2 linked regions of the Arabidopsis thaliana genome follow. The protein of the gene in region 1 purifies or fractionates together with the protein of each later gene. This does not show direct contact. Each region holds a gene or a part of one and is shown on either strand. Other genes may lie near its edges.

The links. The genes of interacting proteins can lie anywhere in the genome.
Region 2: the proteins of AT4G09520 (region 1) and AT5G11810 fractionate together in Arabidopsis thaliana (co-fractionation; one large-scale study listed by BioGRID). This does not show direct contact.

The regions. Positions count from the first base shown.
Region 1 is NC_003075.7:6,023,768-6,029,262, forward strand, and holds AT4G09520 (Cofactor-independent phosphoglycerate mutase), read right to left. Parts: upstream 3,357-5,495; 5' UTR 3,206-3,356; intron 3,001-3,205; 5' UTR 2,985-3,000; coding exon 2,685-2,984; intron 2,612-2,684; coding exon 2,466-2,611; intron 2,389-2,465; coding exon 2,112-2,388; intron 2,028-2,111; coding exon 1,755-2,027; intron 1,686-1,754; coding exon 1,203-1,685; 3' UTR 1,037-1,202; downstream 1-1,036.
Region 2 is NC_003076.8:3,806,853-3,812,069, reverse strand, and holds AT5G11810 (rhomboid family protein), read right to left. Parts: upstream 3,393-5,217; 5' UTR 3,332-3,392; coding exon 3,193-3,331; intron 2,847-3,192; coding exon 2,776-2,846; intron 2,640-2,775; coding exon 2,587-2,639; intron 2,490-2,586; coding exon 2,010-2,489; intron 1,904-2,009; coding exon 1,813-1,903; intron 1,717-1,812; coding exon 1,630-1,716; 3' UTR 1,422-1,629; downstream 1-1,421. Other genes in the region: AT5G11820 (Plant self-incompatibility protein S1 family), read left to right, coding at 879-1,421; KEA6 (K+ efflux antiporter 6), read left to right, coding at 4,001-4,280, 4,588-4,631, 4,845-4,906, 5,017-5,095, 5,172-5,217.

The sequences.
Region 1 (5,495 bases):
GAGAGAAGAAAGGGCAAGAGAGTAAGAAAATGGGGAAAAAGAGTCATGATGAGTGAAGTTGTTGTTTTATAGATAGAATAAGAAGTAAGGAAGAAGAATACAAAACGGGACTTGTTAAGAGACCGAAACAAGACAAAAACAAAACGGGTCTGGTAAGGAAAAATGTCGACGGAAGAGACGGAGTTAACCGGTAATTACCGGTTAAGAAACGGTCAAGTTATATTACTGGTCTGATTTTGGGTTTTGGACTTTTCGCTTGGGATACTTATTTTATCGGTCTCCAGTCACTTTTATTTTCTTTATTATAGATTTTTGTTTTTTCTCGACATATAAACCAAACACAGTGGTGGACTGGTAAGCTTGTTAGTCTGGTAGGTAGACAATATAATTAATAAGTATATATATCACATTTATTTAATGTTTTATTTTATTTGTAGAATGATGAGAGAGCTTCAATATAAATTAACTAACATTTTCAAGTTGCTTTGAATTATGTGGCTCCCATAGTTCAAGTTTTTTTGGATCATCTAAATATCTAATACATTTGGAAAGCCTGAAATGAGAAGTTTTATGAAAATGTGGATAAAGACCCAAGTGAGGTTCTCCAATTAGAGTAAAATGAAGCCAATTCGTAGACTTTAACTCAAATGGAGATAGTTACAGAAACACAGGTTCATATATTTCATTTATGGTTCCTGGAAAGGAATGATGATTTCTCAGGAATATGATGGTTTTATACACTATCAAATGAAGACACGCCAATTATGGGAGCTGTCAACCTTCGATAAATCTTGACTTATGTGCTTGAAATGTAAAAGCATTCGTTTGGACAATGAAATGCATGATTGACTTTCATTAACGTGAAGTAATTTTCATTACAGATTGTTTAGATCTAGTAAAGATAGTGTCTTCATTAACTAAGTGACCATCATTTTTTATAAATTTGTAGGCAATTGAGTCACGAGAGAAAAAAAATTCTTCTTTTTCGATATCTTTAATTTCTCGTCGAGCTAATGTAAAAAGGAAATTTCATGTGTATATCTTAAGAGCCAAAGTGTAAACTTTAACATGCAACTACACCTCCAAACATTGTTAGACATTTTTTTTTCAACTTCCTGAGCTTGTTAGAGTTGATAATTTTTTATTACACTTCCAAAATCCAAATTTTCAAAGAAAAAATGCAAAATTTTATGAAATTTGATTTATACATCCAACTTCAGAAACTTGGTGATAACTCCCATCATTTCACCGCCATGGAAACGGCCAAGACATCTTCTTGCAGCTGCAATCTCGTTCAACTCTGAGACTGAATCTCCACTAATCGCCAGAGAAGCTTCCCTCCTCCCACAGTCTTCTTCTTCTTTTCCGATGACATTTTCACTGGATGCTATATCCGTTGGAAGTGGAAAAGGGTCTAAAGATGTCTCTAATAGAGCTGATTCTCCTCCAACCGCTCTCACAAAGTCCTTTAACCGGCACATTGTGAATGGGACAGGCTCGAAGCTGTGGTCTCCATACTCAACTGGAGTAGAATGATCACCAGTCACACACAAGAAATACTGGTAATTTGAAGAAGATTCAGCTTGCCATAGAAGCTTAGCGAGCTGACGTATCGCTTTATCCACAGCTTCCAAGCCTCGAACTTTGAACAATGTAGCCTTGTCATGACCTGCATCATCTATAGCCTGCACGAATAATTTAGAATCAGAATGAAATTTTTTATGTTGTGTTAAAAGACAGAGACATGTTTTCACCTTAATGTGAAGGAAGCCGAAATCGTAACCATCTGACCTTCCCGGTTTATGCCCGTCCTCTGCTGGTTCAAAGACATTTGGGCAGGGATTCAAAGGAGCTGAAAGCGCATTCGCTATAGCAATCGCTTTCGATGTGAGAAGCGTCCGGTAATCTCCAGTGGCTCCCAGAGCTTCAAGAATATCAATACCAAGGGACATACCAAGTCCGGCTATAATCTTCGTTGGTGCTACCATACACGGCCACAAACCATGCTTCTCGTGAAAAGGAGGAACCTTTATATACAAAACCCATAACAGATAAGTAGATGGAGCAAATAGATTCATTAAAAGCATTCGTAAGAGACAGTGAACACAAACCTCGATTCGAATACCACAGCCTCTTAAAAGAACAAGATTAGCAATATTCTTGCCTTGTGCAGCTCTCTTTACATTAACCGGGTGGGAAACAAGAATGCGCGATATCTCCCGGGATAATTCGTTCACGACTTTGGCTGTGTGATTAGCTTCTTCTGATTCATCCAAAGGTTTAGCTTCAAGAAGCAAACGATTATCCTTCAATGGATCTGTTCCAGATATATTCCCACTAAGTTTTGGCCCTTTTACAACCACTCCACATCTATGTTCCGTTGCATATCTATCAACCAAAAACTTCCTTTAGTCAAAAACTCGAAATCCGAAACCATAAAGACGAAAGGAAACATATTTAACAACCTGACTCTAACTTCATACTCAGGGAATGATGGAAGCTTCATTCCATCAAGAGCAGCACAAAGTATAGGTCCTTCTTCTTCGAAATGTCGATCAGCTCTTCTACTAACAACAACTCCAGAATCCTCATCCAAAGTTGCAAAATTTGACTGCATAATGACACATTGATCAAAACCTATAAACAACAAAGAATAATACACAAGTAAAAGCAAAATCAAAAACCTTGAAAGCTATGTCACCAGGTGACATAGCTAATCCTGCACCCATAGATTCAAACGCGCCACGTCCACGGTAATACACTCTTGGATCATAACCCATTAGAGAAAGATGAGCAGTGTCACTACCACAACCTAATCCAACTTCAACTGGATCCATTAAACCATTGATTCCAGCTGAAGCAATTGCATCAAGGTTAGGTATTTCTGCTGCTTGCAATGGTGTTTTGTAACCTAATCTTGGTATTGATACATCTCCCAAACCATCAATTAGTATAAAGGCAACTCTTTTTTGAACTTCTTCCATTTGCTACAAGTGGGTTCTGTTCCAATTGGTAAAGAGGAAATTAAAAGTCTGAGACTTTAAGAATTATCAATGATTCACATAACGATCGATCTCTTATTACAAAGCAATGTAGAGATCTCTAATTCTATGAATGAGCTATTTGCGATGAAATGTTCAGAAAGTTCGAATCTTTAGATAACGAATCTACAATAATCAGAATCAGAATCCATTTTAACCCTTACCGGCGGTGTCAGAATCGTAAACGTCGCCGGAATTGTGTCTGCAGCTCCAAAGTTGAGAATTGTGGTGACGTCGTGTGTCGTTTGTCGGCTTCTGCTCAGTTAGAAAGATGCAAGTCATTACGTAAAACGATGTCGTTTTAGGCTAAGTTTAAAGTCATTAAGTAAACGATGTCGTTTTGGTGGTAAAGGGATTTAAACCCATTAGAACATCCACAATGGTGGGTTTTCAAAAATGGGTATGTATTGAATAAAAAATATTATTTTTATTATAATTTTATTATTTAATTAAAATAATTGGTTTTTACCAATAAAATCTTAACATCTGTAAAGTAGAGGTTCTCTCATATGGCTCAAAGTTTCTCTAGAGAGAGTTTTATTTGACGATTCTCTCCCATTGTCTCTTTCCATACTTTCTTTTCATTATTTTATAATATTTTAATAATTAAAATGAGAGTTCCACAGTTGTGAATGCTCTTATAGGTTTTAGCATCATTAGTTTTGTTGTTGATTGATTTGATTTTGTTGGGGGTAAAACTAAAAACTGTTTTACACAAACACTTTAAATTCAAATTTGAGGTGTAAGTTTTTACTGTTTGGTCTCCATCACCTACAATTTTTTAAAAGAATTTCGCACTTGTTTAATGTTTCAACGTCTTATAAATTAGTTTGATTTTTCTTTTTAAGTTATTTAATTGGTTAGTGTTGTAGCTGTATTTTAATTGATAGAGTTTGTCCAGAATTTGGTTTAAGAAAATAATGATATGGTGGTGAGTAATATGTTTTTTTTTTGCTAAAGTCTACTCTATAATTTTTTTTAAAATGAATGATGTAAAATCTTAATTAATATATTTGATACTTTTTGAAAATTCTAATTAGAGCATTTCCATTGGAGGTGGTATCCTCTATTAAATTATTGAAGAAAGAAAAAGAATTGTGACTGTGAGAAAAGAGTGAGAGAGGTTTTTTTTGGGGAAGATACAATGATCTCTCATTAAGCATCTCTCTTAACACTTGTAATGTTATAATTAGATCATAAATATAGTTTTTCTTTTAATTTTAAAGAAACCCATGAGGGGTTCTAACTAATGTGGATGATCTAGCGTGATTGTCATATTCGTCAGTCAAATCAATTATATTTTGATATATAATAAAAAATATAAACAAAATAAGAAGAAAATCAACAAAAACAAAAATAAAAAATAAAAACAGATTGATTTAACATATTCATGGAGCATTAAATTAGAAACTCGCCTGTTAATACATGATTTTATCATTTTATTGATTAATTCATATAATATTTTATTTACATGAACAGTAAGAAGTACAGTAAATGGAATTTAAGAAAATAAATTTTCGAATTTTTATAAAGCAAATGGAGAAAAGCAGGTTTTGAACATTTTTACCTCATAAATCATAATAAGCCTTCCGATTGATTGGCCGGAAACATGGTGAAACCTCACAACCGGCTCAGCGTATCACAGGATGGATGGATAAACAAATTCGAAATCAGATTTCAGCTATTCGACTTTCAGGTGACAAGCGTTATAACGTTATTCCACTGGATTCAATCTCGGAGCTAGATACCTTTTGTTGCACAATTTCGATTAATTATTCTCTAAAATTTTCAAAATTCTTTTGATTTCTTTTTTCAAAATTCTTATGCACAAGTTGTAAAACCGTATATATTTTTCTTTTAAATATAATTTGACATTACATTAAAAAAAAAAGGCTTCCGATTGATTAGTCCAAGTTAATCCATATGAGTATAGCTAAATTGATGATCTCAACTAAATGGAAGAGGAGAAGTAAACATAAACTCAGTGAAGTTTTCTGTGGACTTACAATCAATGGCGGAACCAAAATAATTACTCATGGAGGTCATAACTATTAAGTAGTGGCATGAAAGTCATCAACCAAAATGTAAGAACCTTAATTGTCCAGTTCTTCCTGTGAACGAATGTGGCTACTCGAGTTGTTCTAGGTAGAAAAGCGAATGTGATTTTTGAGTTCGACGCAGTTGCCGATGTGTTTCGGCAATATTTGTTGGATCAACACAAATTGCACTTCTTTAATTTGTCATAAATTTCGAAACCTCTAGAGTAAATGTAAAACAAAAATCCTTCCTTGTCTTATTTTTAAAAAATGTTGATAAAACATGTGTCACTATATTCAAAGTTCGTCCCTTATTTGACTTTTTTTTTTATGCTTGATATAAAATACCTAACTGCTATAAGTTTTACGTAGTCTTAAAGTTACCAATCAAAAGCACATTGAACTAATATTCAACATA
Region 2 (5,217 bases), on another chromosome or scaffold:
CCTACTGATTTCTTAAGAAGCAAGCAAGTGAAATCGGATGACACCAAAATAGTAGTATAGTTTAGGGGTTCTCGATTCGTTGAGGGATGATATTTTGTTGGCAGTAGCAGATGACTAATTGTTTTTCTCACACACCGGCACGAGTAACTTCACTGTTAAGCTCCTTAAGGACATGTCTTTATATCTATTATTATCTGATCAAATTTATGTTCTATTCATGTGACTAGAAGAATAACATCAAAACGAAAATCTATTTTTTTTTGAGAAACCCACTTGTTGTTGCCTCGCGCCTTGCAAACGTAACTAAGAAGACCCCAAAAAGATTTTGCACTCAGTAGCTGAAGTCGATAGATGGAGAGAAAGCAGAGAATTAGGTTTACTTGTGTAGTTGTGTTCTTGTAATAATATAACGTTCGGTAGTTTTTGTTTGCTTCTTTTTTGGCAGTGTCCCACATCGGTAGTTATTAAAGTTGTAATGTAATACTATATAAGGTATGAATATCATGGGGAACTTTGGATATAGTATCGTAAATGGGTCTAGGGAGGACTTAAAAGACTAAAGAACTATTAGTCCAATACTACTATGAAAAGTCACATGAACCTAAGAGATTTTTTTTAATCCAAACCAAATAGTAAATATAACAAAGAGAAAAGAAAAACAAATTTAACATTCAATTTCAATTTACTAGATTTTTTCAATCAATATAAAACTGTTTGAAACCAAACCGAATATTATTTGTTAAACTTTTTACTAAAACTAAAAACGAAAAAAGGGAAAAGAAAGCTCAACGAACAAAACGTCCAAAACCACTACCGTTTTTCTGTTGTTGTTAAACAAACACTCCCGTTTGTATAAAACCTCAAAAACCAAAACAGAAATGTTCAATAGAGCAATGGGGTTTGGGTTCAAGATCGGATCAAGATTCCGATTAGCCACCGCATTCACATGGTGCCTTCTCATCGCATCAGCGTGCTTTGCATACACCGCATCAGCAGCCCGGTTCGAGGTAAGAAACGAGATCTCCATATACCCAGGACGGAATCGTAGCCTCGCGATTAACTGTTGGTCGTCGAATAACAAATTGGGCACGCATGCTCTCAAACCAGGCCAATCCAAAAGCTGGTCGTTCAAGCCAATATTTATTAAGATACCGTTTTTCTACACATACTTTGAGTGCACGTTCTTCACCGCGTTTGGCTCGCCATTTGGTCAGACAGCAACGGTTTTTGCCGGGGAGAGATTATTCAGGTGGCAATGTGATAATCCGGATGAGGAAGAGTGCATTTGGGTGGTTAAGAGAGACGGGCTATATCTAAGGAGGATCAAAAGAGACAATAAAGGCCAAAGGCTCTATGGAGATGAATTGAGAATGGTTTGGATCGGCGGTACTAATTACCACCCTGTAAAAGAGGATCCATAATCTTTACACTTCCATGACCACTTCAGGATATATGTTATATCTCTATTTTTGTGTGTATGAAATGGATAACACGATACATAATCTAGAAGAAACAGAACAGCTTTTGTGTCTTTCCTTTATGTAAAGGTAGCAAATTTGAGATCAATCCACAAACAACTTCAACAGCGGAAAGAGAATGAATTCATCCGGACTAGATGATTACTTTTGCTTAAGCTCCATATTTTGGGGCTTTCCAAAGTTTGAAAGCAACTTCGTGGATGAACCGATCAGCCGGTATAACAAGATTTCCACAGAGCTATGATGAAAAGAGAGAAACAACAAAAAAATTAACCTTGAGACAAGAAGCCGTGACGTTTATTATAGCAGAACTTGCATTAAACAGAAACCATACCTTTTTGAGAGCTTCAAATGATAAGGTATCAACTAAGTCTTTCCGGGTCACCCCATGCTGCCACTGAGCTACCAACATAGGACAGTAGTGCCTGTAGGTTGCAAGAATGACCAAACCCGTCAAGAACGAAATGATGATTTCAGAAAAGTTCAAATCAAATTCTTTTGGTTTTGACAAAAATTCATCGAATCTCTTACCGAACATCATCCCGTGTCTTTTCACCTCGCATGGTGTAGCTCTGACGCGGGACAAGTCCTATAAATGCCGGGTTAATGTCTTCTTGTGGAGTCTTGATTGGAAAAACTGAAACATCTTTGTCTGTGACAGAACCATAGCTAAGAACGACAGACAGATGCAACCGCGATAGAATCTCTGAACCTGGTTGAGCCATTCCCATAATACTGCCAATCAAAGAGTCGAGAATTCCCATGTTGTTCCCGTTATTATATTCATCAACCCCGAAATGAACAAAAACCAAGTCATATAGGTTCACATCCAAGCACTTTCCTCCTTCAAATCCAAGCAGCTTTAGTAGTTTAGATGATGTGGCATCAGAAGGAAAGGAATCACTCTCTTGGCATATTTCACTAAGCTGTAATACATCTAAGCCAATCAGTTTTCCGAAAGAAGTCAGAGTAGAACTGTCCGTAACTAAAGCAGCTTTGAGTCCCATAAACCTGGCATTAAAGTAAATACTAGCATCAACATATGGATATACCAGCTATTGATTATCAAAGAGAGTATAAAACTATAGAGATAAGTGAAAAGTATAACCTTTCAGCCAAAGTTGAGATATCATTTCCATTTCCCTTTGGTTTTAGTCCACTCTATTAAGAAATCAGATCATGGTTCGTTAATCTCTAATTCGTGAATAACTATGTAAACACACTGAGATTGTTAAATATTTTGCCACAAAACTCGGCTCACATAGAAATTAATATAGTAGAGAGTAAAGTATCTCACAGCTATGGAATAAGCTTCGGATGCATCCAGCAAGTGGGAGAATTCTCGAACTATTCTTTCATTCTCAGTTTCTGCAATATTGAAACAGCAGAGTGAGTTAGATCAATAGCAAAATGTCAAAGCAAGGGCAATGTAACACAAGTGATCTCAAATCTTTGTTTCTTAAGCAATTGGGTCAATTGACACTGAACAAGAACTCTAAGTTGGCCAGTTAGATCAATTGTATACTGGAGTTTCATATTGGACTATTAAAAAAGTCACAATCGAATCCAAACGATATGGTTCAATTCTGATCAACACTAAGAAATCCTAACAAGTGAAAACCCTTAAAGTAGCGATTTTGACTGAAATTCAAGACGAATCAAACGAAAGTAACCAAATTTATGAAGAGATAGCGAGGGAGAGAGAAAGAGAGACCTGGAGGTGCATTAGGAAGGCTCAAGAAGCCACAAGTAGCGACGGAAGCAAGAGAATGGATGTTGGTATTTGACGGATCGACAAATCGAGCCAAGCCGTCTCCGTACAATATCAGTGATCTGCTTGATTTGTCCGCCATTGTTGTCAAAAGACGAATTGTCCGAGAAGAAAAAAACAGAAGCGAATATATATATTTTTTTGTCGTGAGGGGAATATATATATATATATATATAATATAATTTTTCTTTTTTTTTGTTTTTAATTTTTTAATTGACAGCGATTTTTTGGATAATTTTTGGGGACCATGAACTAAAAAAACACGTTTACAAATTTCACAGAATTATAAATACAGTGAAATCTATTTTTATTGGATTTAAATGATTACATGAAAAAGAGTCGCATTGAGTAATAATAAGTATGGCGTAGACATTGAGCTAAAGTTTTATAGAAATGGAAGATGTTTTGTCCTAATCGAAAATCAAATAACCAAGAAAGACCCATTCCATTCATTAATCTACCACATGGACATGGTGCAGTTGCTGTATATTACAAAGAAACAACACAACATTAAAAAGAAAAAAATCCGATAATTAATTTTAATACAGATATGTCGTAAATTGTACAGTATAGTCTTGTTATATGTAGAGAGCCTATGTATGGACTGTTTGTTGACCATTGCAACAATCTCACTTTCCCTCTCTCCCCACTTGCCCACTCCTCGTCCTCGATCGAGAGACTCGCGACGGTTCCGGTTCTTCTGCTAGACCGTTGCTCCAGTCCGGTTTAATCCAGAACCAGTTGTTCTGCCATGGTGGAAGGAAGAAGAAGAAGAAGATTCTCGCTCTCCTCTCAACAGCTAGCTCTCCTCTTACTTTTACTCTCCTTCTTCCTCTGCTTCTCCGTCGCGTCTCCTCGAGCTATATCTGATTCGGATCTACTGGATGAAACAGTCGCCAACTCCTCCTCTTCCGTCGCATCTCTCAACGCTTCTTCTTCTTCTTCTCTTGTTAAGCCTAAGGAAGGTAGCTTCGCCGACATCATCGATCGTGCTCTTGAAAAAGAGTTCAATGAAAGCGACCAGAATGAAGGTTAGTGTTTTTTGCTACTTTATGGAGCTTGAAATGGCCATTGAACAACTAGAATTCATTAGGTAGATCCTGAATTGGATCCGTGATCCAATTGAAAGTTCGGAACTTTAGATTGATCCCACATTCGTCTTTCCTTTTTGGGGATCTCCCAATGTGGAATAGTTTGCTTCTTCTAGATCGAGAATATTTACACAAACAAGATACATTTTTGTGATTGGTTTTCCTGAAATGGATAGTGAGTGTTTATCTTGTATTCTTACACTTTTACTCGATATATTATCTCCCAATGTTGTTATATTTGTGGCAGTGGCTGATCCTGGAAGCTTCAATAACAGTGTAGCTGGACAACAGGTTTGTTTTAACTTTTAATCATTAGTATATACTTGCTTCTGTTTATTATTCAAAGTTGGACAATTTCTAGGAAATTCAAGCAGTGTCAAAATCACTCCCAAGTCTTTTGTTTGAAAGTATAAGGCTTGCTTTAAGATTTGATCATTTCTCTCATTAATTGCATAGTTTGAGTATCTGAATGTGAGGTTGGTTGTTGTACCTTGTGGTGATCAGGCTGTTCTGGAAACTGTAGCCCGAGTAAAGTCGACCAAGAAAAATGAGACAAAAGAGGAGAAGTACACCATTCTATTATAGTTATCGTTTATATTTCTAAATCTTCCTTTGTATGACCTTCTTTGATGTTCTGGAATTGAAGACGTATTAAGCGTTATCTAATTTTCCATAGGCGTTTTCAACTCCATGATGTTTTCAACTTGAACAATGATAACAGAGCTGAGGACACTCCAACTCTCATTGATCGAAAAGTAAGTTTTTACACAGGAAGACTGAGTTTGGATTTGTTGCATTACTTCTTACATGGAAGTTTTGGCCTTGTGTCAGGACAATGTCTTCATCATATCCAATTCCAAATCAAAGTATCCAGTAT